2 linked regions of the Caenorhabditis elegans genome follow. Changing the gene in region 1 together with any one later gene gives a genetic interaction. Each region holds a gene or a part of one and is shown on either strand. Other genes may lie near its edges. The genes, in order: lin-17 and cam-1.

Evidence for each region.
Region 2: of lin-17 (region 1) and cam-1, changing one enhances a phenotype caused by changing the other (phenotypic enhancement), as found in Caenorhabditis elegans (one study listed by BioGRID).

Annotation. Positions count from the first base shown.
Region 1 is NC_003279.8:2,700,948-2,717,115, forward strand, and holds the start of lin-17 (Frizzled-4), read left to right. Parts: upstream 1-6,651; 5' UTR 6,652-6,681; coding exon 6,682-6,747; intron 6,748-7,154; coding exon 7,155-7,259; intron 7,260-8,971; exon of another isoform or gene 8,972-8,972; coding exon 8,973-9,119; intron 9,120-10,173; coding exon 10,174-10,458; intron 10,459-11,491; coding exon 11,492-11,601; intron 11,602-12,903; coding exon 12,904-13,125; intron 13,126-13,172; coding exon 13,173-13,461; intron 13,462-13,780; coding exon 13,781-14,107; coding exon of another isoform or gene 14,108-14,111; intron 14,112-16,168. Other genes in the region: F32B5.1 (arginine kinase), read left to right, coding at 1-734, 783-995, 1,046-1,135.
Region 2 is NC_003280.10:9,302,338-9,318,355, forward strand, and holds the start of cam-1 (Tyrosine-protein kinase receptor cam-1), read right to left. Parts: upstream 7,968-16,018; 5' UTR 7,965-7,967; coding exon 7,888-7,964; intron 2,517-7,887; exon of another isoform or gene 2,486-2,516; coding exon 2,354-2,485; intron 1,918-2,353; coding exon 1,749-1,917; intron 1-1,748. Other genes in the region: csa-1 (WD_REPEATS_REGION domain-containing protein), read right to left, coding at 15,351-15,428, 15,480-15,780, 15,836-16,018.

The sequences.
Region 1 (16,168 bases):
AGCTCAATGGTCCAGAAGGAGCCAAGTGCAAGTCGCTGCTCAAGAAGCATTTGACCAAGGAAGTCGTCGAGAAGCTTAAGACAAAGCGCACAAAGGTCGGAGCAACCCTTTACGACTGCATCCGGTCAGGTGTCTACAATTTGGACGCCGGAGTTGGAGTCTACGCTCCGGACGCTGAAGCTTACACTTTGTTCGCTCCATTGTTCGACAAGATCATTGAGGATTATCACGGATTCAGTCCAAAGCAGAAGCAACCACCAGTTGATCTTGGAGAGGGAAAGACTAAGGAATTCCCACCATTGGATCCAAAAGGAAAGTACATCAAGTCGACGAGAATCCGATGTGGACGTTCTTTGAAGGGATATCCATTCAATCCATGTCTCACTCAGGACAACTATCTTGAGATGGAAGGAAAGGTGAAGAAGGCGTTCTCTGAATATTCGGACAAGGAACTCAAGGGCAAGTACTATCCATTGGATGGTATGGGCAAGGATACTCAGAAGCAGCTGATTGCTGATCATTTCCTGTTCAAGGAGGGAGATAGACATCTTCAATACGCAAATGCCTGCAACTTCTGGCCAAAGGGACGTGGTATCTTCCACAATAACGACAAGACTTTCCTGATTTGGGTGAACGAGGAAGATCATATGAGAATCATTTCAATGCAAGAAGGGTCTGATGTCGGAGCTGTGCTTGACAGACTTATCAAGGGAGTTCGCGGAATTGAGAAGCAGGTTGATTTTCTAATAAGGCTCCGAAACTCAACATATTATGTTTTCCAGGTTCCATTCTCCCGTGATGACCGTCTCGGATGGCTGACATTCTGCCCAACAAACCTCGGATCAACAGTTCGTGCATCCGTCCACATTGCTCTTCCAAAGCTCGCCGCCCGCAAGGACTTCATCGAGATTTGCGAGAAGCTCAATCTCCAAGTGCGCGGAATCCACGGAGAACACTCGGATTCTGTTGGAGGAGTCTATGACATTTCTAACAAGGTAAATAAACCACGTTTTTTGTTGAAAAATCAACATTTCCAACTTTTCAGGCTCGCCTAGGACTCTCGGAATATCAAGCTGTGAAACAAATGTACGACGGAGTGAAGAAGCTAATTGAAATGGAGGAGAAGCAGAAGTAAACTGGAAGAAGAAGAAAAACTCGTTTAGTCATATTGTATTTCTCTATTAACTATTTAAATAAATGGTAGTAGAATGATTTCTATGTTTCTTTTCTTTCTCTCACTCTATCACCTACTTTTACTCTTTTGACTTGAGCTTGAGCACTTGAAACAAGTCGCTCTGAAAATTTTTCAGTGCATTTTTTCCCAACTTTAGCAGTCCGTAAATTGGCTCCAAATGTGAATGTTTGCAGATTTTTGATGATTTCTAGGGTGTTCAGGAGCCGGAAATCATTCAGATTCGTTTTTTGGAATTTTTTTTAATTTTCGAAAAAATTCTCATGGATTCAAAAAAAATTGAGTTTTTTTTTAAATTATAAAAAATTATTTAAAAAATTCTGAATGTTTGCCGACCCCTGAACATCCTAGAAAGCATAAAAAATTAGCAAAAATTCACATTTGGAGCCAATTTAGAAACCTCGAGAATTGTGAAAAAATGCACTGAAAAATTTTCAGTGGGACTTTTTTCCTGTTCAAAGTGCTCCTCTGCCGCTAAATTTTTTTCGTAGGGGCCTATTCAGAAGGCATAGGTCCGAATGGCATAGGTTATGTTCAGATGTCCGGAATTAAGTTGAAATACTTCCCTTGTTAGATCTGATAAAGCTGAATACACCTCATTCAACTTCACTAGACCATAACTCAAATAAACTTAGTTTTATCAAAAATTGTTCAACTGACAAAATATGTGTTATCTAATCTTCTATAGTTTTTTGGTTGAAATTTTATTATTAATTCTAAGTTGAGCTGAGATAAAGCCTAATAGTGACGATTGAAACATGGTGCATCGTCCTGGAACACCTCATTCAACTTTATAGGCTCATAACTTTGTTCTAAATGAATTTATCAAAATGTTGTTAACTAACAAAACACTTTTTATTGTATTTTCTACAGTTTTGCAGTTGAGTGTTTATTTGCAACTTTAAATTGAGCTGAGATAAAGCTGAATGAAACATGGTGCATCGAACTGGAATATCATATTCTAATTTAACAACTCATAATAAATCCCAATAATTTGCTAGAAAAAAACACTTTTAAAAGTTAATAACCCATGATCATCTATTCAAAAACCAGAGAAAAAGATTTCTCTCCCTTTCTCCCTCTGGTCTCCCATGGTGTAGCTGGTGGTGCAAGCCTTGTCTCCATCTCTCCCTCTGTCCTAACGCGCGCCATTCGCCACGATTTATAGCCATACATACACACACATTTTTATTGCTTTCGGACCCTCTGACACACTCAGCGATTCGTACGCTCTCTGACCCCGTCTGTCGTTCGGACTCTCTGCAATGGGAATGCTATCTGAGAAGCCGATCAGCATCGACACCACCAGCAGCAGCAGCAGCAGTAAGAGGTTAGGTCGGACCCCAGTTAACCCCTCTCTGACTTCAGTTTGACCATAACCTAGTGACTTTTGAAATTTCGATTTCGAACGATGCTCCGATGTACTCTGCTCCACCCGGGTTCTACATAGCTTCTGGTTCTCTTAAAAAAGTGACCTACCGTATATTTTCTATAAGTATTGGCGTATCTATTAGGATTACACCCAAAGAAATTTGAATTTCTCGCAAAAAATGTTTTCTCAAAAATTCGAAAAATTCGAAATTCGCCAAAAATGTTCATCAGAAAATTGAATTTTCCGCCATCAATATTTTCTCGGAATATTTGAATTTCCAGCCAATAATTTTTTCCCAGAAAAATTCAAATTTCCCGCATAAAAATTTTTCTCAAAATTTTTTATAAGAAAATTGAATTTTCCGCCATCAATGTTTTCTCGACAAATTTGAATTTCCCGCCAAAAAATGTTTCTTTAAATTTTTGAATTTCCCGCCAAAACATTTTTCACAGAAAATTGAAATTTCCCCTAATGCTATTTTCTCAGAAAATTTGAATTAACCGCCTGAATTTTTCGCGCAAAAGTTTGAATTTAGTGCTTTCTAATTAAGTCCTAAAATAATCTAGAAAAAGACTGAATTTTTGAAATTTTTGTTCAAGCTGGAAAAATTGAGTCAGCAGAAAAAAAATAAAGACTTCCATAAAATTATTAGCATACCAGAATTTTTTTATATGGGATCAAAAATAAATCGGTGGCCTAGTTTCTAATTTTTTTTCTAGGCCACCTAGCAAGTTTCTGTGACAGTCCAAACAGTCCAAATCAAAGAAAATTTAAAGTAAATTTGAAAAAAAATCGATAATAGACTCCGCCCCTATCCTGGTTTTTTTTTGGCGTTTTCCTAGATCGCAGAACAGAGCTCCTCTCCCTGCCTAATCGCCTCTTGATTTATTCTCTTTATCTCGAAATTCCACCCCTTTGGTCTCCACCGACCGCTCTAATTTATGGGGGTTTGCAGCAATACTCAACTCCCTCACCATCCCTCTCTCTACTTTTTTTCAAATGTTCATTTTTTCGCGCGCCCCTACCACTTTTTATCACCTTTTCCCATATATGATGTCGTCAACGTCAACCTCCACTCCCATGTGTCCAGTCAAGAACTTTTTTTTTGTTTGGGGGGCTATTTGCACTAGTCGTACTAGTCATCACTTTTCTGTTCGCCCTTTTTGGGGAGAAGATGTTCTTTCTATTGTTGATCGGAGTTTTTTTGTAAATGGAATTTGTTGAGTCAGTCGATTTAGGAGTGAGGTGAAATTATTGTGCAAAAATTCTGGCCGGCTCATTTTTTAAGAACTTGCTTCAAACGTAACATTGTCCAAACCAGTTAAAATGTTATTTTTAAATTTTAAATTTCGGTCCTTAAAAACCAGACCTCGCCTATTTATTGGTTTTTCTTTCTTTTTTTTCGTAAACGCTCTGAGACCAAAAAAATTTGGCAGGTTTTTTTCTAGCTTGATTTTATATCTTACAATTTTTACTACTCATATAAAAGGTTTCCAACATTTTGGTTAAAAAACCTTGTTAATTTTTAAAAAAGTTTTCTTTCAAACAAAAAATTCTAGACACCAGAAAATACATTTATCTAATCTAGAATTTTCTTCTGATTTCGAAAATAAAACTTTTAAAAATCTCATTTCAATACTCGCAGATTTACGGTGATTTTTACACTGCGAGAAAAGAGAGCGCGCCTGGGACCTCTCACTCTAACCCGACGCCTGCAAAAAAAACCCTGCAACTCAGTTACTGTTATAGCTGTGAATATGAAAAGGGAATTTTTGGAATCAGCGGAAAAATTTGCTCTGGATGTTTGTGATTTTGAAGTTTTCTTACAATTCTTAAAATACCGCTTCAACCACAGTTTTTTTTTTAAATAAAAGGCGCTATAAAAATTATATTTTCAGAATCAGCGGAACATTTTCGTTTAGATTATTACAACTTTTTAGAATTTGAATATTTTTTGTAAAATTTACCTCAGTCTTTGCATAACCTCCACATCCAATCCCCATTCAAAAAGTGGTGTCTCTAAACTTTTTTCCAGCCCATTGACGATCCCGTCTTCAACACTCCCATTAGTCCCTATTTGCCTCTGTGAACCTTTCCTTTCTTTCTATTTTATGTTCAAGTCGACTAAAAAATACTTTAAGATAGACACACTTCGCTGCAAAACTCCCAATAATTTCGACATTATATACCCTCAAAGCGAATTTTTCCGCTAATTCCAAAAATATGCTTTTCATCTCTCTAGCTAAAAAACTAATTAAGTTACAGTGGTTTTTACAGGCGTGTGAGAGAGTGAGAGGTCGCAGACGCGCGAGAGTGTCTGCTTTCTCTGCGCTCTCTCATCTTTCAGTCGCTGGACTAAAACCCCCGTAACTCAGTGAGCTTTAGAGTGAGAGACACAAAAAGTAGATTTTCGGAATCAGCGGAAAATTTCTGTTTGAGGAACAAAAAGTTGTAAAATTTGGGAATTTTTTTAGTAAATCTTCTGAGGCCTAAACTTATTTTCCAGCCCATTGACGATCTCGTCTCCAATCCTCCCATTAGTCCTTATTTGCATTTTTACCTTTTCAAAAACTTCTCCACCTCAACCTCCTCCGTCTCCATCTCTCTTCTTCATTCTCCGTTCATCATTGTCCAGATGTGTGTGTTCGTATCAATTGCCCCTTCTTCTTCTTCTGATACATGTGTCGTATACACATACAATTGCCTATGACACGGGTCTCTATGTCATAAATCTCTTAAATTCTACAGCCCACCCTCCTCCTCCGACATCATCGATCGGGTGGTGTGCGTCTTTTCTCCATCTCCCCTTCTATCCACGAAGAACCTAATAAATCAAGACATTAAGAAAGAAACGGAGATCTTTCTGTTTGAGATCCCTTAGGCTCGCCCACTAATTTGACGTTGAAATATTGTCTCGATTTTGAGCCGCCTGAATTCCATCTTTTTGAAATTTTAGGCCTTTTTGAATTTGAATTTGAATTTAGTATTTTTCTTTTTTTTTCGTTTTTTCCGGATTTTCAGACTTTTCTATTCTGTTGAAAACTGGAGAAATCTACAAACTCCCCTGATGGCCGAGTTTTCCATTTTCAAGGCCACAAAAACATTATTCAAATTCATCGAATTTCTAGGCTTATCTAAAAAGTGATATGCATGTCTTTTTAGATACTCAATCCCCATTCAAATTTTTTGAAAATTCATTAACTGGGAGCCTGGCCTGTATTGGACGTGGCCTAGAAAAATATTTAGTGGCCGAGTTTTTTCTCCAGATTTTTGCAACAATTTTCACTGTAATTTGAGTCAAAATATTTTTTTTTAATTTAAAATATTCAATTTAGGCCTAAGTTAGGTAAACGCGCTCCACTGAGAAATAACTATGCAAACGCGCTTCGTTGAAAAATGGTGCAAATGCGCTTCATCGGAGAAAAATACAAAAATGTATTCCATCGAAGAAGATGATGCAATTGAGCTTTACTATGCAAATGGGCTCCATCGGTAAGTACAGAAACATTTTGATTTTCGGTGTTTTTTCGTGCCCCTTTTGTCGCATTGGGATTTGAAAAGATGCCTATTTCTTCCCGAAAAAAAGTTTCTTTCAAAATTTCTAGGTCCCACCACGAAGTTCATAAGTCCCACGGATTTTGGGTCTCATCACGAAAGTTTTGTATTAGGTAATCTACTAACAACTTTTTATAAAAGCACATCAAACCCAAATAGTGACCACTGATAGGGGGCGGAGCCTAAATCAGCCAACTAGAGAGCACGAGACGCAGCACACACCGTGTGTGTTTGTGCAGACGTCTTCCTTCTATTCTTCTTTCTCCATTACTCTCTCTATATGCTAACCAGACGGGTGCTGCTTCACCAGGAGCCTCTAATTTTTTTTCTGGGTTTGGTATGATTTTTCTAGAGCTTTGAAATTTTTTTAAAACCAAACTATAGATATTTTTCCCAAAATTTCAATTTTCCCATGGACCACTTTCCATTTCTCTTCTCCTGTTTTTCTTCTGTTCTCCGCTCCTCTCAACTTTAGTATTTTCTCGTTTTCGCTCCTCAAAATTGACTCTAATTATTCCGTAACTTTTTGAAGGCTCCTCGAGAGACTGGCTCCTTCTCCAAAATGATGCATTCTTTGGGCATCATTCTACTATTTATTCCACTCGCCACAGGATCAATTTTCGATCAGGTAGACTTATTGGAAATCTGAAAAATCGATGCACCATGCCTTTAAAAAATTGCACTAAACTTGCGCGTCAAATCGGATGTATTTGATGCTTTGCCCATCCGTTGCACCATGTTTTCAAATTTTCGATTCACCATAAGCCTACGACTTCTGTCCTAAACTTGCGCGTCAAATATGGTGCACCGGGTGAGTCACTTGAAAAGTCGATGCACCTTGATCTCTGTTATTAAGTTTACAGTTTACAAAACTTGCGCGTCAAATATGGTGCACCCGGTGCGTCACCCATATCCTAAAAAGTTGATGCACCATGTTTTAATGCACTATGGTCATTTAGTGAATTTGTCCGTCAAATCTGGCGCATCTAGTCGTGCCACTTTCCTAGATTAAACACCAATTTTTCAACTTTTCAGGCGGTGAAAGGGAAATGCATTCCGATCGACATTGAGCTATGCAAAGACCTGCCCTACAACTACACATATTTCCCGAATACCATTCTACACAACGATCAACACACGGTAAGCCCCCTTCACCAATAATTTCCATATTCTATCAATTCCTGAATCGGGTGATTTGCATAGAGGAATGGAGAATGAGGGAAAAGTTAAATTTTCAAATTGGTGTCCCATTCCCAGTCACACACAGAAAAGAGGGAACCGACTGACGCTGGTCGCCGCCGCCGCCCGCTAGCGGCAACTTCAAAGAGCCCCTGGTCTCGGCCAAAAAGTCTGCGCACTGGCCGGTGCACACGCTCTCTGGCCATCGCCCATCTCATCAACATGGACAAAAATACGCGAAAAATAAATGAGACAAAAGGGGGATGAAATGAATAGGGGGAGAGGTACGGTCAAAAAATATATGGTGCCGCGGGAAAGATTAACTCCGTTTTTTTTTTTTGGGAAATTGGAAATGGGGATTTTGGCCTATTTCAAAAAAATTTTAATTGCTGCATAATTTATCATGGCAGAAGGAGTCAGGTGTCAAAATTTTAGGACATATTTTTTAGGACATTCTAGGCCCAAATTTTAGTCTAAAACTTTAGGCCAACATTTTTTGTCCAGAATTTGGTCTGAAAATTCAGGCCAAACTTTGAGCCCAAATTTTCAGACAAGTTTTACGCAATATTTTTAGGCCATATTTTTAGGCCAAATTTTTAGACAAAAATTGTAGGTTCTAGGCCGCATTTGTAGGTCAACATTTTCCGTCCCAATCTTGGTCCGAAAATTTTTGTCAAATTTGAGTCCAAAGTTTTAGGCCAAAATTTATTCAAATTTTTAAGTAAAAAATTGTAGGTTTTTGGCCACATTTTTAGTCCATATTTTATTCAAAACTTTCAAAAGTTTTAGTCCAAAATGTTAGATCAAAACTTTAGGCCAACATTTTTAGTCAAAAATTTTTGGCCAATTTTTTAGGACAAATTTTTTGCCAAACATTTTAGACCCAAATTTTAGGTTCAACATTTAGTCCAATTTTTAAGCTAAAAATTAGGTTTTAGGCCACATTTTTAGTCTATATTTTTATTCCAAACTCTTAGACAAAAGTTTTAATCCAAAATTTTTGTCCAAAATTTTAGATCAAAACTTTAGGTCAACATATTTAGTCCAATTTCTAGTCCAAAATTTTTTGAAAAAAAAAACAATTTTGAGGCTAAAATTTTAGTCCAAAATTAAAGGCGCACACTCTTATTTTGTTTCGAGACCCGGTTAACAAATTTTTGGGATGAAAAGCACACAGTGGGTTGGGGTCCACTCCTCCGGCACGGTGGTTTTTTACTAAAATTTTTTGTTTTTTGTTCAAATCCAAACCCACTCTCTATCCAAATATTGGTTTTACATACAACTGCATTTTTATGACCACACCGGCTAAACGTTTTTCGATAACAAACTGATAAGCGAGGTGACGGCGGCGGCGGAACCTCAAAGGGGGCACCAGCGTCTAAAACATGTTTCTAATTTTGCTCCGCCGCACTTTTTACGACCTCCCGTTCTTCTTCTTCTTCTTTCTGTGCTCTTCCCCTTTTCATCAGATACGCATTTGCATTTCGAAGGGGGGAAACGGGGAGGGAAATGGGTTGTGGAAAAGATCCCCCATACTAATTGCATTTTGGGACCACAACAAAAGAGCCCCGGAGCCCACCCAGTGGAAGGGATTTCTATACAATACAAGGGTGCCGGAGAAAACATTTTTAAGGGTTTGGACCGGAAATCCTAAGAAAAAATTCGTACTTTCAGCTTCAAACCCACACGGAGCACTTCAAGCCGTTGATGAAAACAAAATGCCATCCACACATTCACTTCTTCATTTGCTCCGTTTTTGCTCCAATGTGCCCGATTGGAATGCCACAGGCCGTGACAAGCTGCAAATCCGTTTGCGAGCAAGTGAGGAAGAAAGTGGCCGAAGTTTTTATTTGGCGGCCACGTAGTAAAAGTGGAAAAATATTGGGATGGGTCAACTTTCGGACAAGTAGCTTTTTAGGGTTTAACAGAAAATCCAAAACTTTCCGAAATGAAAAAATTTTTCTCAATTATTTAATTTTGCGAAAAAATTTTCAAAAAGTTTTTAATATTTTTTCATATTTTCTTTAAAAATTTAGTTTTTAGAAATTGGCAAAATAATTTTAAACAGTTCTATAAAATCCAAGTTCGAGCCAAAAATCTAGAAAAGTAATAGCTAAAACTGACAAAAAAGAAAGTTCGCTTGTCCGAGAGGACTACACAAACCATAAGTCTCTGTTTTTTCGGGCAATTTTTTAAAAACTGTTTTGTCTTGTCAAAAGTTACATGAAAAAGGAAAAAATCGTCTAAAACCCGAGAAAATCCCTTGAGGGGTAATTTGAAACGGGGGATGTGGAAACGCGAAAATTAGAATAGGAGAGGGCTAATTTTTTTTGAGAAGGTTTAAATGGATTTTGTGAAATTTTGCCATTATTCTACAAATTATCATATTACAATAACAGAAAACTTACTTCCTAGGCTTAAACTAGGCAAATCCTCCGCGTTTTCGCATCCCCCAAATCTAACATTCCTCTAAGAGACCTCACGCTTAATTTTCTGATTTTTACGTCATTTTTAGCAGATTGTAACCAGAGCCTGTCATAATGTTACCGTAATGTCTTAAAATTTCCTTTTTTTCGCAAAAACCGCTCGATGCACCATGTTTCAAGCCAATTAACTCCACTTTTTTTGCAATTTCTTATTCTCGAATTTCCAAAGCAGCAACACCTGTTACTCGCAGCTGTGTGCTTTTCCCCCAATTAGGTGCTCTGCTCCACGGCTCATTACGTGCCCCTGGACAGGTGGACATCAATCATAATAGGAGCAGCAGCAGCAGCAAAAGTTGACTGTCTTATTGTAAACATCTGGCAGATGGGGGGTCTTGTAGGGCGGGTATTGTTTACCCTTAAGATTAACACACTAAAAAATTTTATTGCAGGTGAAAGCGGATTGCTTCTCGATATTGGAAGAATTCGGGATTGGATGGCCGGAGCCGCTGAATTGTGCACAATTCCCAGATCCACCGGAGCTTTGCATGAAGCCTACGGAAGACGAGATAACTGGAGGATTTTCGGCTCCCCGGCTGCCTACAAAAGGCTCGAGCTCATCATCCTCCAAGCCAACCGGGTGCCCCAGTGACCTTGTCGATGTGGATCCACACGATCCCAAGTCGCATTGTGCATTCGCGTGCCAGTCGAATGTGATGTTTAGTACGGATAATAAGGTGAGTTCGGATGCCTGGTGCCTGCCTGCCTACAAGGCCTACTGTAGCAAACTTGCGCGTCAAATTTGATGCATTGAACCATTCACCGAATTTGCTAGAATTAAGAGGCAATTTTTGTCAATAGAGCGGGTTTGCATTGCATTCCAATTTTGCAGAATAAAAGCCCCGCCCATTTCATGGTTTTTTCCAGAATAAAAATTTTAAAATATGCTCAAATTTCAGGAAAAAAAACCATTTTGTGGGCGTGTTCTATACACCCCCGCCTTTTTATGAGATTTTAAATTCGGCTTCCGGAAAAATCCAGAAAAATAAGCTCCGCCCATTTCATGGTTTTTTTTTTCCTTCCAGAATTCGGTTTTTGAAAATAGCTTGAATTCCAGAAAGAGGGGGAAAACAAGCGCCACCCATTTTGGGGGCGTGGTCTATAAAACTCCTATTATTAATAATATTAGGTTTTTAAGGTTCGGTGTCCAAAAAAATCGATAAAAATAAGCTCCGCCCCCCATTTTCGGGGTGTGGTCTGTAAAAGTTTTTTGACATTTGGCACGTGGTGTCAGGCTGTCCATTACTATTTGATCTACAAAAAATGCGGGAATTTTTTGCCCAAAAAAATATGACGTCAACACGTAATTAACCATACGAAATCAGTTGAGAACTCTGCGTCTCTTTTCCCGCATTTCTTGTAGATCAACGTAGATCAAGCCGAAATGGGACTCTCTGACACCACGAGATTTGGTTTTAAAAATCGATTTCCAAAAAGTTAGCAAAATAAGCCCCGCCCATTTTTGGGGCGTGGTCTATTAGACATATTTTATGAAGGAAGAAATTTTTGATTTTCGGAAAAAAAATTTTTAATTTGTTTAGCTCATTTTTGACCTATTGAATATGCGGCAAAAATTTAGAAACTTTTTTTGCGCGTCAATTCAGGTGTATTATACGGACCTAATGCATCAGATTTGACGAGCAAATTGAAAAATAGTGGGAAATTCAAATTCCACCCCTCATATGAAGCGATCATTACTATTAATTACAGCGTATGGTACGTTCATGGTCAATTTGGTTTGCCGCCGCAAACGCCGGCGTTGCTCTTTTCTCCTTCTTGACGTTCGCCATCGACCGAAAGCGATTCCGTTTCCCGGAGAGGTTTGTTATTATAAAAATGGGGGTCCTCTGGTGGACGAAAAAAGATGAAAGAAAGATACAATGAGAGAAGAAGCCAATAAGTGGGTAATGACGACGAGATGAAAATGAGTCACTTGGGGAAAAGAGGGTTGCAATTGGGAACCAAAAATCGTATATTTTTCCTGAAAATGGAAATGGGAAATAGGGTCTTACCGCGAAATATTTTATTTTACAGTAAAATATATTGTAATTTTAAAAAAACAAAATCAAAAATTGGCAAACTAAACATGGTGCATTGCGACATTTTGACGAAAATGCACTTTTAGAAGATTTAACGAAAAATGAACAAATTTTAATGAAAATCCAATTTTTAAGATCAAAATTTCATATTTTTTAAGGCTCAGAACTAATTCTCTAATGGTGTTTCACAAAATTTTGCTTTGCCGGTCAAATATAGACCAGAATTTTTGAAAAAAAAACAGCTCTCGATGCACCATGTTTCACCAGCAAATAGATTTGGACTCTAGCAAATCCTCAGCAAAAAGGTAAATTGCCGGAATTTATATTTCCGGTAAGTCGGCAAACAGGCAAATTTCAGTTTTGCCGTTCTGCTGAAAATTTTTGGCAAGTTGTGATTTTGTACTTTTTGAAGTTTCAGATTTTTTTTCTTTTAAATTCAATTTTAATCGGTAAAATTTTTAAAAAAAAGGCATCCTATCAATGTTCCTACATCTATTTTGAAAAGTAAGCAAATTCTATGAAAATATCTAAAATATAGAAAACGGGAAAATTTTTTTCAAAACGGCACAGTTTTAAGTATTTCGGTTTTATAAAAAATCCATCTAAAAATTTCCGGCAAATGGAAAATTGGCAAATTGCCGGAGTTGAAAATTTTTGGAGAATCGGCAAACCGGCAAATTTGCCGGAATTGGAAATTTTCGGCTAATTTGCCGGAATTGGAAATTTTCGGCTAATTTGCCGGAATTGGAAATTTCCGTCAATTCGGCAAAACGGCAAAGAATTTTTTGCCGAACGGCAACTGCCGCCCACTCCTGATAGAAACTCCTTCCAAAACCATTATAGGCAAGTTTCAGAAAGAAATTACGCGAAAAATCAGACAAAAATCGTTGGCCGAGTTTTTGCTTTTTCTAGGCCACGTAGAAAAATCAATTACCTGTATTTTTTGTTTTTATATCTTGGAAGCTCCTGATTCTCAAAATGATTTTAAAAAACAAATTTTAATCAGCTTTTTCTTTTAACTTTTTGAACAAATTAGAGCATACTGCAAATCCTGGAGAATCTAAAATTCCAAAAAATTTCCAGATGCGTCTTCTACCTATCCCTGTGCATCTTCATCTCCTCCCTCCCATACCTCACGCCACTCTTCATCGATGCTCCGATCCGATCCTGCCACGCACTTGGAAACGGGCGGTCATACCTGTCAATCGGAACATTTGACAATTCATATTGTCTTGCCTCATTCCTTCTTAACTACTTCTTCAGTACAGCGGCTGCCCTTTGGTGGTTAATGTTCTCATTTACACTGTAAGCCACTTATTATGTCAGTTAATCCCACCATGGGAATATTGTAGGTATTTGAGCGGTGGAAGGAAATGGGTGCCAGAAGGTATCGAAGCATGCAGTAGTTATGTGCATTTTGTTGCCTGGGGATTGTCGTCGCTGGCCACGATTATTGTGCTCATTTTCAACAAAGTCGACGCGAGTGAGCTCACCGCTCTTTGCTCCGTTGGGAATTTGAATTCGATTGCGTTGCTCTGGTTTGTGATTGTTCCCCGAACTATTTGCATTGTTATTGGAACATGTTTTATTGTTGGAGGATTTGCGAGCATGTGCAGAGAGAGAATTAGTTTCAGAACAAGGGTGAGTTTTATTAAATGGCCGAATTTTTTATCTCTTTTTCTAGGCCACTCATTTTTGAACGATTTTTGTGCGCTAACATCGATGCACCATGTTAGAAAATATAGAAATTACCTATTTTCAGTAATTTTTTCTAATTTTTCTAATCTAAAATATTTTTATAAAGTCTTGAAAAAGCTTGGAAAAAATCTGAAAAATTAAAAAAAATTTCAAAAATAGACTTACTCATCCGAGACGAGCTCAAAAATCAACGCTGAAAAAAAAATCCGCATTTTTCGTAGATCACACCGTAAAAAAATCAATAAAATTTATCGATTTTCAGGGCACAGACACATCGAAATTGGAGAAACTAATGGTGAAAATGGGCTTCTTCTGTGCTTTATTCATCCTTCCCAACGTCATCGAACTTGTCTGTCAATGCTATAAATTCATGATTCTCACCCAATGGACCCGAATGACAATTGACTGTAAACAACAGTCAGGTGCATGTCATCGGCCGACACCGCCGCAGGCTGAAATTTACATGACCGCCGTAATTTCCAGTCTCGCCACAGGATTCTCGTGTCTGATGTGGGTGTTGTCGGCGAAGACCGTCCACGCCTGGAAGAACTTCATCTTCTGTGGAATGTGCTCGTCGGCGCCGGTTAAAGTGAGTAAGGAAATGTGCTCTATTGAAAATTGCTTGACTGACTTTTTGTTAGGAAGAGAAACAAAAATTTGTACAGTTACAGTTACAATACAGTTTGAAAAAAACATTTCCTGATTATTACGGTAACATTAAATTCTGAGAATACGTATTGCACAGCACATTTGACGCGCAAAATATCTCGAAGCGAAAACTACAGTAATTCTTTAATTTACTACGGTAGTGCTTGTGTCGATTTACGGAAATCATTTATTAATGGATAATTTTTTTAAAGTAAACACAATACCGAAAAAATGTCACAATTCATTTGAGATCCCGTAAATCGACACAAGCGCTACAGTAGTCAATTAAAGAATTACTGTAGTTTTCGCTATGACATATTTTGCGCGTCAAATATGTTGTAATATACATTCTCAGAATTTTGTATTATTTTGCTACAAAATGAGAATACAGGATAAATTGAATATTTTTCGCAAAAAAAGCGGATAATTCTAAATTTTGCTCGTAAAATAGAACGCATCGGACGCAATTACACCAACTTGACGCGCAAAACCAACAAAAAATTCTGAAATTGAGAATTTAAGCCCGAAAAAATCGTTTTTAAATAGTTTTTTATGCATTTTTTTTTGGAGGAATTGCTAAAATTGTTTTACAAAATTTAAAAAAAAAACGGTACTTGTGTATTACATGCCCTCATTTTAATGGTAATTTTTAAGCCATGAAAAATAAAAACGTGAACCACAATTTGTATTTCTAGGCTTACAAGGGAACCCCGCACTTGATCCGTGGAAAGGACAAAGAAAAAGTATACCAATCGAAAGTTCATGTTACTGGCTACTCGAAAACAAAATAAAATTCTGCCAGTTTTGCCTATAAATCTGAAATTTTTGCGTCTGAAAATTGGTCTTTGCGCCTCTTGATTTTCAATACTTTCTCACTGTCTTTCGTTGAAAACTATATTCTCACGTGTAAAAAAGGCTACACAAAAGTTTTACAACAGCGAACACCGATTGGATGGCCGAGTGGTTAATGCTATTTTTTATAAAACATCTTGTCTTTGAAGCTATGCAGCTCCGTTGAAAAAAATCTCACAAAAAAGTGATCAACTAAAAAGTTGTAGATTATGACTTCATCTAAAACTTTTCAGATGAACACTTTTACCAAAAAAAATTGGTTGTCGAGCTGGAAACTTTTGAAAAAGAGCTACAACTTTTTAGAATATTCTAGAAAGTATAACGTCTATATCTCGACAACCAAATTTTTTTGGTGAAAGTTTTTCACTAAAAAATTCTAGATGAAGTTATAATCTACAACTTTTTAGTTGATCACTTTTTTGTCAGATTTTTTTCAACGGAGCTGCATAGCTTCAAAGACAAGATGTTTTATAAAAAATAGCATTAACCACTCGGCCATTCAATCGGTGTTCGCTGTTGTAAAACTTTTGTGTAGCCTTTTTTACACGTGAAAATATAGTTCTCAACGAAAGACAATGAGAAAGTATTGAAAATCATGAGGCGCAAAGACCAATTTTCAGACGCAAAAATTTCAGATTTATAGGCAAAACTGGCAGAATTTTATTTTGTTTTCGAGTAGCCAGTAACATGAACTTTCGATTGGTATACTTTTTCTTTGTCCTTTCCACGGATCAAGTACGGGGTTCCCTTGTTAGGAAAAAAAACATTTTCTAAGACTAAAGAGGAAAAATGAAAAATGTATATGGAGAAATTAATGACAATTTAATTTAATTTGAAAATGAGGGCATGTAATTCACAAGTACCAAAAAACAATCTAAGGTGAGTATTTTTCGCAAAAAAAAGAAAATTTTAAATTGAGAAATTCCTTTTAAAAAAGCTTTTCTTTTTGAAAGCAACCAAAAAAACACAGCAATTATTACAGAAATACAAAATTCTGAGAATGCGTATTGCACAACACATTTGACGCGCAAAATATCTCGAAGCGAAAACTACAGTAATTCTTTAAATGATTACTGTAGCCCTTGTGTCCATTTAAGCGCTACAGTTGTCATTTAAAGATTTACTGTAGTTTTCGCTTCGAGATATTTTG
Region 2 (16,018 bases), on another chromosome or scaffold:
ATACCAATATGCAAAAAAGGAAATAACAAATGTTTCCACATATGATAATTTTTGTTAAAGCAAAATACAAGAAAGTTATGAGCTACCAAATTAGAGCAATGCGGTGCAACCCTGATAGAGAAACATAGTAAAAAATGTTTCCTAGATGCACTTGAGGAAACCTCAAGTGCATTTTTAAAAAATATATCCAACAAGTAATCTTTTTCAAAACTATTTGGCGGTTTGCGTTTTTTTAGGCATTAAAACCCGAACCGTTTCCCTCCAAAAGTCGCAAATCATCTTCAGGTGTCGAAAATTGAAAAATGAGATAAAGAAGATACCAGTAACTGAAAAAAAGAAGAAGAAAACAGGAATACTAGTAAGAACAATGTGTGGTATTCGGTGTGGTACCACACATAGAGAAGGAGAGGGAAAAGACGAGGAGAACGATCCATCACTGGAGCTGACAACTATCGAGGGTCTATCGATGAGGTTGAGGTTTTGGCAAAAGAAGAAGAAAAAGGATGGACAATTGGGGATGATATGAAACATTAATAAAATTATTTGAAAACCCTTTTAAATTTAGTAAGCATATAATTTAACTTCTAGACAAAAATTGGAAGACAATTTTTATAACTTCAAAACTGGCAACATTCGATTTGAAAAATTGCAAGCGATAAAATTTCATTGATAGCAAAATCGGCTTAATTGGATGTAATTTTTCTTTGCTTTTTTTTACTTTTAAATTTGCTTGGTAACTCTTGGAGCATTTACTTTGGAGCACTAAGAAAGTTTGAAAGTGACCCAACAGGTATCCTTGCACTAGTCCAGAAGGGTCAGCTGTTTCAATTGGAGGTCTAGTTTATTGGGTTTTCTATGCTCACTTTTAATACGCAAAAACGAACAACAAGTGGGGGTTTGGATACACTGGAAACTTTTTGGTTGTCAAAAAAAAATAGAAAGTTGTAAAATTTCCAATTTAAAAAATCAGTTTTAAGTCACACATTTCAGCATAACGGAAAAAAAACAGAAAGTGGGTATTATATACTTTTCTTCTGAATAATTCTGTGCAAATCGCAGAAATTTTAGTTTTGAATGGTATAAAATCATTCAAAAATAATTCCAGGCAATTTTTGTATATCCACCGGCAATGCACGTGCACAATAAAATTTTTAACTTTCTGCTATTGGTGAAAAAAATCGCACTCTTTCAATTGTTTATTTCAGTCTTACCTGAACTGTGGTGAGTCCTGTTTACGGTAGATTGAATATAACAATTTTTAGCAAAATGCGATCGGTTTTTTAAAAAAATTTTCAGTGCCCTCCTATATCTAAAATGCTCTAGGATAATAGGTTTCGCAATATCTCCAGCAAAGTGACCAAAAAATAACCGACTCATTTCGAAATACTCTCACTTTTGAGATGGCAAAATGCTGCTAGTACTACTTCTACTAGGGAGCCCGAGACCAAAGACAATTTCAATTTGGTGGGGTGCAACAAAATGGGCACCCCTAGCACAGCTGATGTGAGCGGAAAGGAAAAAGGCATCGGTTGATGATTCAAAGAGAAACGGAAAAAGGAAAGAAAAGGCGATGCGCTACCAATTGGTACAAAGAGACGGAATGAAAGAGAAATGAAATTGACTATACAAGTCTTAAAGAGCTCCATTTTATGTCATGATGTAACTGTGCTTGGAACATTCTGACATTTTTCTAGAACTACATCCCAGCTCGCAACATATTCCCATTCATCTAAAAAGTTCCAACTAACCCTGAGCACACTTGTCGTGTTAACCGAGGCTGCTGGATTTGAGACAATGCATTGATAGTATCCACTGTCTAATACGTCCAATTGTGTAATGACTAGTCGAGATGAATTCTCCTTATCACGAATTTTCACTCGTTTCGTCTTTTCCACTGGACCATTGTTTTTGAGCCATCTAAAATCAAAAAAAATTGAGTTTCGGAAGTTTGAAGCGTTTTTAGTCCGGCTAAAAATTTAGCAAAAGGTATCTTTATCGAATTTTGAGCCTTGCAAAAAAAAATATAAATTTTAAGCTACAATGGATTTTTGTAAAGTTTTGTAACTTGGAGGAAGTACAAAATTTTTCAAGGTTTTTTCAAGCTTGGAATGGTTCTGCAAGAAGTTTTTACAACCAATAGGTGGAGTTATATTTCAAAACAAATATATAACAAATATTCTTAAGTTGCAAACTTTAATTTTGAAACCTCCAAACAAAAAAATTTATTGAACCTATTTAATAATTTTTTAAATGTTTTGTATGACGGTTGTTGATAGTTTTGCAATTATTGGAAAATTCAAAATTTTTAATTTTCAAAATTTAAGATTTAACAAATTTTCAAAAAAAAACTTACATAAATTTGAGTGGTGGGGTTCCAAGTGCTTCGCACTTAAACCGAACCTCGTCTCCCGAACTTTTGGTGGCATTTCGAAGTTGAGAAGTGAGACGGATGTACGGTCGTTGACCAGTTGATGTACCCTCCATTCTGAGACAAAATGAAAGTTAACGAAAGAAATCTAGAATTATGCAAATTTAGAACTAAAATATAACATATTCCCAAAGCAATAAATTCACCGAAAAACAATTTAATGGAAGGATGTTTGTCTTCAAGGAAGAGCCAGTTGTCGGGAATAACGAGGAGGCAATGGAGAGAAAATGACATATGGTCTTGGGGTATTATGCAAATTGAGAAGGCGAGATAATAAGGGAAAATGGTGAGAATTAATGGAATAATTGTTATGTTTTCATTTGTAAATTGGCTTAAAGTTGAGTGGACTGGAATGATTAAGTCAGAAAAAATGTTGAGAGTAGATAATTTTTTAACCAAGATGAATACTAGATTTGAAAATTTAAAAAAACCTATGTCTATAAGAGAAATTAATTTGAAATTCGGTTATTATCAAACAAAAACCGCAACAAATATATCATAACGTTGTATTAAGTTTATCAGTTTATAAGTTTTGATAAGAAAAAGAAAATTAACTATTAGGGGGTCTACAAAGAAATTATAGTTCGTCATTTTTTTTCCAAAAAGGGTAAAATTTCTAAAAAAGTACTGTTCGATGAGCTCAATTTGAAAAAAAAAGATAATGCTCAACTAGAGCTGTTGTTTTATACAAACATTGCATTTCTCGAACTTTCAGTTCGGAAAAATAAAAGATTAAAAAAATTCAACTAATGAACTGCAAAACTCCGATATTCGTAAAATTTTACCAAAAAACGGCTAACGAAAGACGACACCAAAAGGGGTCATAAATTGCATGAAGCTGTCGGTCAGTCAATGTAGGAACTAGTAGCTCATTATTCACACAAGTGGGATGTCGCATAGCCAGCACAACTCGGTCTCTTCCTAGAGTCCCCGAAAATGAAGTGAAATTGGACAGGCGATTAGAGAGTACATAAATTTACGAGATTACAGAGAAACTTGCAGAGAATAGTTGTGCTCTCAGAGAGATGGAGATGACACTTTTCTTTTCAAAGTGAAATTGTCCGAAATAGGAAGAAAGAGAGGAGAACTTTGTATTTCTATTCATATTAAAATAAGTGGAGACTTGAAAAGAATTGGAGTACTAGCGCTAGTAGTCGTTCAAGTTTTGCTCTAAACTTTAGAATTTTTTAGAAGGATGATGGTTGGCATTGGAAAACCCAAATCTTTAGAGAAACTTAACAATAAATAAAATTACTTAAACAATTTCTTGACCAAAGAGAAAAATGCAAAGAAATAAACAAAAAATTAAGAAGCGGTCGAGAAAACTCAATTTTAAAGATTTGGTAGATCAAGTCTGAACAAAAGATCAAATATCCAAAAAAAATATATGAATGGTGGAGGGCCAAGAAAACCTCGCCAAAAATTATGATAACCACCCTGGTTTTTAGAAAATGCCTATCTAGACTTCAAGTTACATTCTCCGTTTTCTTCTCTGAATTAAAAGTGGAGCAATTATATATTTATTTCTAAGAAACCTTAAAAACTCGCATTCCCAGCAAGTTTCAATAGAATTTTTCAGTGGAAACTTTAAGATCAAATCCAAAAAAACATTAAATTTCACAACAAAGTATAGCATCTCAAAAAAAAAACTCAAAATCTTGTCCCATGTCCCAGCTTCCGAAAAATGACAGATTGTTCAAACAAGCGAAGATTGAGCAGATTTTTGCACTTATCGACAACGACGACACGGAGAAAACTGCTCAAGAGCCCTAGAATAATCGGATCAAGTGTGTATGGTCCCGGGGTGATGGAAAAGGGTACGCTTTTTGTATGCTTATGTTCTCAGTGAATGGTGATGAAGAGGGGATAAACAGATGTGTGGAGATTATTGCTTAGAAATTTTGGTTCTTAAAAGGTTTGAATGAAACATTTTAGAGGGTAATCAAAGTTAGAACAAATTGATCAAGAAAAGGTAAAGTACATAAAAAACATTGATAGACGAGCATCATTGCAACGGAGCAAAATAAAAAGATTTCTCTATTTTTAAATTTGAATCTAGCATCAACCTACAAACTATTGTATGTTTGGAATTATTTGTAAACATGAACAAATTATTGGTAGTAATGCTACAAATTTAATTTCCAAGACTCGTGCAGGAAGAAGAGTACAAGCTAATTAGGTCTCTCTCCATCACTTCTAGTGAAAATAAATGAGAAATGAGTCGGATGGATTGGGAGGGAGGAGAAGCAATGAAAAGAGCATCAGTCAAAACTAATCGAACATTTGCTCCTTCTCCACCATTGGCTCCTCATTCTCGCTTCTTCTTCTACCACCAAAGGGACCCTGTGCTCACTCACTAAATCACGAAAGTTGTCCGTGTGTGTGCGAGACTTGGGGGCGCGTAAATAGTTGAAATAATGATGAAGATTGATGGAGTTGCAATGAACTAAAGAACATGGGGAAATTCGAAGAGTCACAGAGAGATGGAGAATGGGCTCATGGTGCCAAATTTGAGAGTGTGTATGTGACTTGTATTTCGAATTTTCAAATTTGGAATCAAGCAATGTAGTTTTTTGGTGTTGAAATTTTTTGGGCAACTATAATAGAAACATAAGAAAAATTACACTAAGAAGTTTCTGAAAATAATCTTTCTAGGGAGTATAAGTTTAAAAAATTGACTTCCAAGTTGTCCAAACAAATCACAAATTCCTATAAAAGATCATCACAGTCTCTACAGAGAGCCAGTAAAAGCCGACTACCGACAAGGATAAACATGATGATGAGAACGGAATTGGAAAGTGGATCACAAACATTGAAACAGTGTGTTAGGCACAATTTACTACAGAAGAAGAGACCGAGATAGATACAAACACTTTTCAACCCAATGTTTTGATCTTACAATCACTTTCGGTTGTTGGGTGTACTTGCAATTGGTGGAATTGTTAATATGAAAATTTAAAAAATCACTCAATTTTTCTGTGCCTGAAGAAAGTTGACTGTGAATTGACTAACTGCAGTTTGCCACCCATTGAAAGAAATGGAAATAGTTCAGTCTGAGCAAAATAATTTCGAAATCAAAAATGCTCTATCAGGTATAACCTTGCCTCAAAACAAAATTTCATCTAAACCTGAACACGAGACTCACTAGTCAGTAATAATAGCCCACCTAAATGACTATTATTCGCATCGAAATGCGAGTTCCATTAGCCTATTCAGGAGTAATAGGATATTGATCCAATTGCAAATATACTGACAGAGCCTGGGAAACAAGTATAGACAAAAGGTGTGAAGGGAGTTTTGGAATACGGGAAGAAGATGGAATGGTAATAGATAGATGACGTAAAAGATGTGGAACGCATGCTCGGCTGTCAGGTCAAATTAATGGAATCGGTGATAAGAGAAGAAGAAAAATAAGAGATTTGATAACGAATATAAAAAAGTAAGTTTTGACAAATTTTTCTACATGTGAGGCTGAAGATATAAAAATAATTTAGAATTTAGTTAAAAGTTGTGGAAACAAATCTTGCGCACTTAAAGAATAGTTCTCCAAATGGCAAAATATGGAGGTTTGTTAAAAACCGTAAGATTGTTTAAAACTATCTCCAGGATTTTAGTACACTAAACCTAGAAACCAAAATAAAAATTCAAGATAAATTCAGCTAATTCAAGTTTAGGAATATTTCATTTCCGGGGAGGAGAAGTGCGGATTGACTGAACGATATTTAGGATTAAGCAGACTAAATCAAGCTAGTATTAAAATGCCTATTATAGATTAGTAATAAGACCTTAATATTGGAATCAAACTGTTTTCTAATCACTAAAAACCGTTCAAAAATGATTCGAAAGTTATAAATTAATTAGAAAAAGAAACTAATAAATAGTGATAAATTAACTTCTTTTTTACGATGTGTCATCATTACAAGGCCAATAAATTATAAATCGAGTAGTCCATCCGTCGGATGAATGTGCGGAGCGCGTTTGGCGGGGAGGGCCCATTCGACAGAATCCCCGAGAAATAGTATACTGATTCAATGAGACGCAGAGACACAGGGGATGACTGACAGTAGGAAAGAAGGCAGAGGTCAGTCCGTTTTGTCAGATATTAGGGAAAGAGAGAGAGAGAGGAGATGGTCACGGTTAGGGTGGGGGTGGTCCGTTGTATGGGTGAAAGAGGAGGAAGACGTCCGGGTGTTGGTGGATGTATATAGGTGTCAAGTGGATTATGCAATATGTAGAACAGAAGAGGTGGGAGAATGGTCATCCATTATATGGGCATGTCACTCCGTTTGTTTGAGGGAAATGAGCTTGTGTCAGTTAACCCAATTTCCGCATCCGGAATGACATTTTGATGCTCTATAGTGGTACAAAATATGGATGAAAAAATAATAATTGAAATTTCCAAAAGAATGGGTGCTAACGGAAAATTTTGGATCGTGATGTTATATCTAATTACCAAAATTCATCAAAAATGTGAGATATCGGCATTTGGCACCAAAATATTACACAACTTTTCTCTTAAAAATACAAAACTGGCGAAAAAATTTGTAACACTTGACTGAGACCATATCCAAGTATTGCTCGAAAAATGGAAAAAATTGAGCGAGTTTCAGCTTCTGCCCACGTTTTGCCTAAAAGCACTATATAAAGTTTGTCAATTTTTTTAACAAGTTAAAATAACTTAGGCAAAAATCGAGCCAAAAATTATTTTCATAACGATTTGATTTTTGATATTGACAAAGTATTAGCTACTTAAAATTCACAAAAATTTGAAATAAATCACTTTCGAAGTTGACCCCTTTAGCAATTAATTTAACTCAAAATCTAATAAAAATTGCGCTAAAACTAATCGCAAGTTGCAAACTTGTCAAAAAGATGAAAAATGGGAAGTCGACACGACGGAAGTTTTCAAGATTTTGAATGAAGATAATAAGTTGGGTGGAGGGAGAATTGCAGAAAAATTTCCCATTGAACATTATTTTTATAATCAAGATTCTAACGGTGAAGATCACATACTGCATAATACTCATCGGGCGAGCTTGATGAATGTGGGAACGGATGGCGGTAACCATATGGTTTTATTCAGAAATCAAGAAGTAATTGGGTTTATTTTAAATACATTTTTTGAAAATCTATATGAACTGATCTATATGAACATATATGAAAATCTATATGAACTGATTAAATGCTTTTAAAGTTTATATTTTATACGCCAAGAGGTGGACGCGCATTTTAGAGGTCGTTAAAAATTTTTGTAGTCAGCAAACTGTACATCTATAGACTCACTAGATTTAAGCATTTTGTGTTTTTGAGGCAATCTAATAAACTACTTGTATTTGACCCATATTCATTTAATCTGATAGTAAATAACCGAACCGTTTGTTGCCAAAATAGGCAGCTACAGTTTCTACCACCCGTATCTAATTACTATAATTATCGTATCAAAAGACAGTAATACTCACGATGCATTTCCGTAGTGAAGACCCTCATCGTCGGCTGGTTCTATCACGAGATCGTCGTCTTCTGGTCGGGGAGACATTTCTGGAATATTCAAGATTTAGGGTATAAAAATTAAAAAATGGAACGAGATGGTAATATACAGAGTTCAAAAATTTATTCGAATCGAGAATTTCAGCACCAGTAACATAAAAAAAGGTAATTCAAATATTACTTTAAAAAAACAGAAATTCATAAAGTTCAGTGAAGCAAAAGTTGAATTGAAGTATAAAGCTTAAGCCGGCTAAAAAAAAAGTTGAGAAATGGCAGGTGAGATTTCAGAAATCGCAGAATTTATCATGAGAATTTGAGAGGAAATTTAAGAAAAAGTATAGAATTTCAGTTTTCTTAAGTCATGAATTCGACAACTTTTCTCTCTTCTAATTCTGAATTCATTTCCAGAAGAGACGCAGGTCTTTTTCATTAGATGACAACTTTCAGGACCACCAATGAAACTTTTTTTCTCAAATCGAAATGAATTGAGGATGAAGTACAAAAAGAGACGGGAAAAAAGTCATTTTCATATTAGTAGTACACATTTTGATGCGCTTTTCCACTCATTTTGCATGTAAAATAAATGTGATGGATGACTGAGAAATGAGCAGGAGCACGAAGAGTTGTGAAGCAATGAGTTAGAAGAAAGAGTTGGTGATGAAAAATGGAAGAAAATTGAATGAAAAAGAGATTTAGAGAAGAAAAGATGAGCATTCTTTCATGCAATTTTAGTAATACACGGGTTTTCACACCTGTCTAATAAGGCTTATAAAGCAATTTGGAAAATAATTGAGTTTCCTGACACAGCTGGATATACACTAGATTGTCACTTATTTTAAAAGTAAGAAAGTGGAATTATGACGAAAGTTTGTCAAAAATTTAGGTGTTTCACCCATCAAAAAACTCAACTGTAAAATTTTTAAAATGGTGTTCTTAAAATGTTTAATTGCATGATTTTATTTCCAAATATTTTTTCTAATATTTCACTTTGTCATTTTAATACTAGAAACCAAATCCCAATTTATACTTGAAAATCAAGGTCCAAAACAAACTCCGGAAATAACGTGAGAAAACCAAATGATATGCTTCCTGTTGATGTTCTGAATGGAATTTCAAACGGGAATTCTGGGAGAGTCCCATTCGAAGAAGAACAGCTAAATTTCAGAGAAAACATTTATATATTGCACAAAATATGAGATCATGGATCTTCTAATTAAATTATTGAAAAATTGTCACATGTCCAGAAAGTCCAATGAACGTTCGTAAATTCATGGGCAGGTTTCCAAACCTTTCGACTATGTGAACAAATATTTTCAGGTCGATTAAAAAACTTTCAGAACGTGTAAATGATTACAATAATTTTATTAGAAATGATACGGTAGATATAAACAAATTGGCCAAAATGTATGTTCCTAAAACATGTGTGATCTGCAGTAGATATTTCGAAACCTTCAGCATGAGCTAATTTTGTATATGTTTCTCAAAATCCTAGATACACTGGAGCATTCATCCCTGAGAGCGTAAATCGGATAAAAAGAGAAACGCAAAATGATTATTATAGAATTTGAAAGTAAGTGCATGCTCCTGCTCGTGCTGCTTCAGAATTGTGTTCACCGAATGTAGAAGAGAGAAATTTCAAGAAGCGGGTCCTTGAGTGTGAAAATTTGTTTATGCTGCTGTTGGAAGCAGAGAAGAGGATTAGGCGTTGAGCACAAGGAGCTATGAGAGAAATAGACGATTATAATCAAAATGGACAACAAGTAGCCGTAGGAGAAGAAAATTGGAAATTGAGTTGAGTTGGTACGGAATTCTGTTGGTGGGAATTGTTTTTGAATAGGCATGCTGGAAATGTTGTAGTACTAAAAATATTCCCAAAAAACTAAAGTTTAGTCGCATTTCAATCACTCAGAAGCTTCTATGCTAAATAAAAATCTATGTGTGTCAAATTTTCAATACAATCTAAAAATTTATAGTATGGTACAGTTATCAAAAGAAAGTTTTGATAGGAGTCTATTAGATGTGAAAGTCCTAATAATCAAAATACGGGCAGATCGGGTTTTGAGTTGTCTTCACCGTTATGCTGGAACTTTCTTAAACTTTAATTTCCTATTTTGCAAAACAACTTGGAACAAAACTCTAGAGAAAATGAAGAAAATTAGCATATGCTCATATAGTTGGAACAAGAGAAATCTGATTAGCTAGGACCGCTTGTTGTACTTGATTCCAATGTGCCAAAAAGATGGCACATCTGGAGGGATACCTCTAATTAGAAATATTCTTTCTTCCTTCTTCCTCTTTAGACGTCAACAACGACAACAATGGGTGGATGAACCAAGAGAAGAAAAATAGGAAAATGGTGATTTGAGCCAACAGAAGGGTGTGAAGAGCTCTGGCACCCATAGGTACGAAGGGTATGAATGGGACCATTGAAATGTGAAGGATAAACAAGAAGTTTTGAAGAATTCGTAATCGTTCTCTCCGGAAGTTTGTCTATTCAAAAATGAGAACAAGTTGAAATGAAAATAGAGTGAGAGACGTAGAATAAGGTGTTCAAAAGATCGGATTAAGCAATGGGGGATTGCTAAAGGGCGGGAGATTTTGGAGAAGGAAACATTCAAAAAGTTTTGAATTATATTCAAAATTGACACGAAATGATTGAATAGTTTGAACATATTTAACATATTCAAGGCGACAGCTCAAAGAAAATTCAAATTTTTTAAGGAGGTCTGGACTATCTCTATAGGTACTGTAGATTTCATGGGTTACCATCGGAAAAAATGAATTCATGTTCAAAGTTTATTTTTCCTAATTACTACGTTAGCAAATGCTTTAACTAAATTAAGGCTTTCAAATCTAGAGGGCGAGCATGCAAAACTTTGAAAGTTTTCACAAGCCAGAAAGCTAAGCTGAAAGATTCGTCTTAAATTCGAAACGGTACAAATTCTAACTCGAAATTTCTACAAATAATTGGAGAACACAAGAGCATAGATGATCTTCTTCTTCTTCTTCTCGAATATCAATTTCGGGAGAAGTTGAAGTGCAAGCACCTTCTTCCATTCTCAAAGACTCTCAGGTGTCTCCTCATTGTGTTCTAACCGAGTCTAACACAACAACAACAGAGGAGCTCAGGCTCCCGTGCTCAAACAAGGCAGGAAGTATGGCACACCGAACCTCTCTCTATTCTCTTGTTCCTTTCACCAATCTCTCTCGTTTCCTAATTACGGTATTACGTTTCGGTGAGTATTGAGAGACAGAGATAGGCAAGTGCAGTGGAGCGAGAAGCGAAAACTTGAAAGAAAAGGCGGGGATCATAATAGGGACAATGGTTCAAAAGAGAAGAGCTATTCAATGAACAAGTAGTCAAAAGGATTTGTTGAAATGCTCCAAGAAGAGGAGGCAAATTATGAATGGGGTAACACGAAGGTTTGTCGAGCTCAACAGAGAGTAATTATACTTGAGCAGAAGCCTAACACGTCCTAATGTACTAAAAGCTTAGATGTCGGGAACCCTTTTTGACGTTTTTGATGAACACGAAGAAGAACAATGGAACGGTTAAATGAATGGGCAAGAATGAGAAAAGATGTACAAGGCACTTCATTTTCTATAATTACAAGAAGCTGGCTGAACGGTCAGCTGTGACATTCGGAAATATTTGGATACAAAAGAAGGGAAAGTTTTGACATGAGCATACTCGTTGCTCAACCTTTGCAATACAAAAAAGAAAGTGCATGAGTGGGGAGCCTATTTTAGACCTCAACGATCAGACGCAGGTCCTACTCTTGGCATTAATCTACTAAATCTTTGGCATTTTCTGAAACAGGTAAAATTTTTTGAGCAAAGCATTAGGCAAGTTGAAGCCAAATTTTCAGTATATCAAAAATTTGCAGTTAACATGTGTGGATAAAAAAAAGGGTTGTTAGGGGTTCTAAAAATTTATTTTTCCTAGAAATATTCGACCTTCAAATAGCAAATCTCTCTTATCACGGTCATTAGGGAAGCATAACCAAAACATATCTCATGTTGTCGTTCCGTTCTCGCAAGAACTCTACAAAAAACGAATAGGAGCGAGAATTTCAAAGTTGCAAAGTCCCCTAATTCTCCAATTCCTATAGAGACTGGAAAATTGACTATACGCAGACACAATCGACAGGTTTTGGAAACTAATTTGAGTTGTCAGATGTGAATGGAATAGGAAGAGAGTGAGAAGGGTCATGTTGAAAGAATTTTTGGAAAAAGGAAGGATAATCGGGATTTGATTTCGGACAAGCTTTTCAAATAATTTGAATGCTTGGTGACGGATTCTGGGAATTAATAACTTTTGAAGTTTGGCAAATAGTAGCTAGCTAAGTAAGAACTTTAAAAAATAGGACTTTTTATCAACGTTTTAATCGAACTTTTATTCGTTAAATTTTCTAAAATCTAACTTTTGCTTAATTCTGAATTACACAATTGGGTTTCTAGATATGAGCTTCAAGAAAACTATACTCAGAATACACATAATTCATGTCCAAATAAATCATACTAAAAGCTCATCCAGGTGAGCGCAATAAAATTAAAAAGCTTTTGTGCAATAAACGAAACTCAGACATCTAGCAAACGAGAGAAAGAGAGCGGGAAAGTGTGTTCAAAACGTCTCGAATTTCCGGACGGATAACCGCCGACGATGTCTCGAAACGAAATTCAATATGTCGTGGAGAAGAAAGTGCGTGTACTTGGGAAGAATGACGGAGGATATGCGGAGATTGTTTTAAAAGTTTTAAAGCTGCAAGAAATTGACACCTCATCTGAAACATCATTCGTTAAATGATCAGAAAACTGTGTGGTGGTAATTGGATACATATCAGAGTGGAAAGGGGGTGTGTTTTGATCATGAAAACCAAAGAAACATTGAATTTTGAAATTTGCAAACTGTATTTAAAACATAACTTTGGTGATGTTTTTTTTTTTCAAAAAATTAGGCCTAGTTTTTTGTGTACAATATTATTTTTAATGAATGGAACAACTTCCAAATCTAGACTAGAAATAGTGTTTTTAAGAATTCTATTTGAGAGCAATTTTCATATTTTTAAAGCTAGACATCCCGATTAAAAATTAATGACAAGTTATTCTAGAATTAAAAATATTTTCTTTAATTATTAACGACAAAGTCAAGGAGCAAATTTTGAGCTTTACCATTTTCATTAGATACATCCTCTTTAAAATGTTTTTGAAGACGATAATTGATTGAATTTTTCTCGGGAATGGTTCTATCACTTTCTTAACAAGTTGATAAAAAAAAGTTTTTTTCTAATTTCCCGTATCTTTTACCGTATCTCGTTATACCTAGTTCTAGATATGTTTTTAATTCATTACAGCTCAATAATTAAAGTGAGACCTCTGTTCAATTTTGAGACGCGGTAGGTATATTTGTACTTTACATAAAATGAACTCAAACACTGGGGGAAAAATTCGTAATTTTGAAATTCCATATGACGAATTTATATGGAGAATTTATACTTTTGAAACTCAAAATCAAATATTCTGTCTCTCTCTCATATCCCATCTCACACTCTTCTTCCATCCGAGTACATCAAAAAAGTTTTGAGGGGCGGAGATAAAAAGTAAATGATGGGCGGCTTAAGAGTTGCTTCTCTGGACATGCTTCATGGTGTCCGATTGAGAGATCATTCAGATTTGAGAGAAATAGAGAAGATTGTCAGATGATGTGATTGACATGGGGCAGCAGTGGAAGGGTGTCTTGTGAAAACCCGCAAAACTTGAGAACAGATTGACAATAAGGTTTGATAAATGACCAGGAACGTCTAGTACGAATCGGTTTTTTTTGGAATGAGCAATTTACAGTTGAAATGATTTTTGATGCATTTTCTTTCCGAAATATTAAAGATCCTCCATTTCAAAATTAGGAATTGGAAAGAAAAAGTGTTGCATAAGTGTTAAAATTTTGCAGAATGATCTTCACAAACCATATGTTAAACATGGAACGGGAAAATGTTTGGGGGCTCTCGGAGCAAGTAGTCATCATCCACTTGACATTGTTCTCTTGGATTGACACACTTCACACTCAATGATAGGTGAGTGTGGGAAGAGTAGAATAGAGATGGTTTTAGGGTGGAAGAAATGGTTTTTCGGAATTTTTACTCAAAAAAATTATGCTATCAATCTGGCAGCGTATTTTCCCAGTAAGTAGCGCAAACAATTTTTGCAATTAATAATTTAATAGTACTGTATTTTTTGCTCGTTTATTATATGAGACTCCTAAAACAATTGGCGTTTTCTAATACAATACGAGAATACGTTGCTGAGATAAAATGTAAGATCAAAATTAGATCAAGAAAACTGAAATGATATATTTATACTACCGTATATTTTCTATTAGTATTGCACATATAAGTTGTTATAACTACTTAGATTTCAAAGATTATATTTCGGCTCATTTAGGAGATAAAAAAAACAAAGTTCATTCTTTAAAAAATTCAGAAAATAGGCGGTAGGCGGTTAGGTTCGCCTGAACACGTACCTGCCTACTTGGCAAGCCCCAGAGAAAACGATAAAAATACGTGAGTTTGTGATAAAACATAATATCACTTTGGAATGTTTCACTGGCGGATTCGGAAGGAAAAGACTAGAGAAGGGAATCGAATCACCAAACAGACACTAATCATGTGTGCACACACGATGACCCCCCTCCCATCTCAGGTGTATGAGTCTCAGGCGTGTGTCTTCTCCTGTTTCGCTTTTGTTAACATTACGTAACAGGAGCACACAATTAGAGCATATGTGCAATTATGTTCACACCTTTTATATCGTATAAAACAATGGTGTCGAGTGAATAGAACACGGGGACAGGTCACCTTGATGTACTTAAATGGACTAGAAAATATTGGTTCGCATTGTTTTCAAACAAGAAATCAGGTATCTTGTCAAAAAAAAGTTCTAAACAAAATAAATAATCTATCCAAAAATATATTTCATAAGCTACAATATTCTAGAGTGATACATTGTACATTACTGAACTTTCTCCAATTACAGCAAAACTTCAATGCTTCTTGCCTGCCTGCCTAGAAGCCTACCTACGACCTATTGTTTGAATTTTGGCGTGAATTATGTTGTTTGTTGTTTGCACTGTTTAGTTTTATGTTGCTTGAACTCATTTAAGTTTCGAACATTGAATTCAAACGTGAAAAATGTTTTTGTGTAGTTATGAAGTAGGCACAAATTAGACGTAGGCCACCTTGAAGGCAGGCGCGAGCTTTTGTGCCTACATCTGATGTTTACTAGATTAATTTTGAAGTGCTTGAGTGACAATTTTAGAAAATATTCATTCATGTGCATATGCATCTTTAAAAATCGTATTAAAACTCGTAAAAAATTTTGCGACCAGAAAATAAAAATTAAAGAATTTTATAAAATGTGTTTTCTTTTTGGTTGCGACCTGCTATACTTCGTCTTGATCTTTGGTTGATCTGTCAAGGGATAAAATATTCAGATGATTGTAGTTGAAGCCTGTGATTATCTGAAACAAAAATCACCCAGTTTCATTCTTGAACAACTTTCAGTATCCTACCTCATAGCTTGATTTTCGAAAAATGAAGGGCTTATCCCACAACACTTTTGCTTCAACTTCTCGAAAATCTGGATTTCTTCTTGATTTATCATTATCAGAAAACCGAATGATCGTCAGTTTTTCAAAATTCGTTGCCACATAAAAATCCTTCTCATATATAAATTCCAAATTTGGACGACGCTGCATAAGTGGATCGAATTCACAGGAAAAATCAAATTTTGTGCTGAAATCCCACGTATCTGCCACATGAATGTACCCCGATCTATCGGCAGAGATGAGACGATGTCCATCGGCAGATATTCTGGAATTTATGAGATTTAGAATACCTTCAATTTAAAGTTTTGAAAATAAAGTACTTTAGTCCATAAATTTGTGATTTGTGAAGAGATTTCTCAGCAATTGCTCCACGTGTGCTCCGAATATCAAATAGTCCAATTGTTCCATCTCGTCGTCCTGCATATAAGTAATGATGTTTTGATGGATACCACTGTACAACATCAATTGGTTCATCATTCCAATATATCGATTGAGGTAGATCC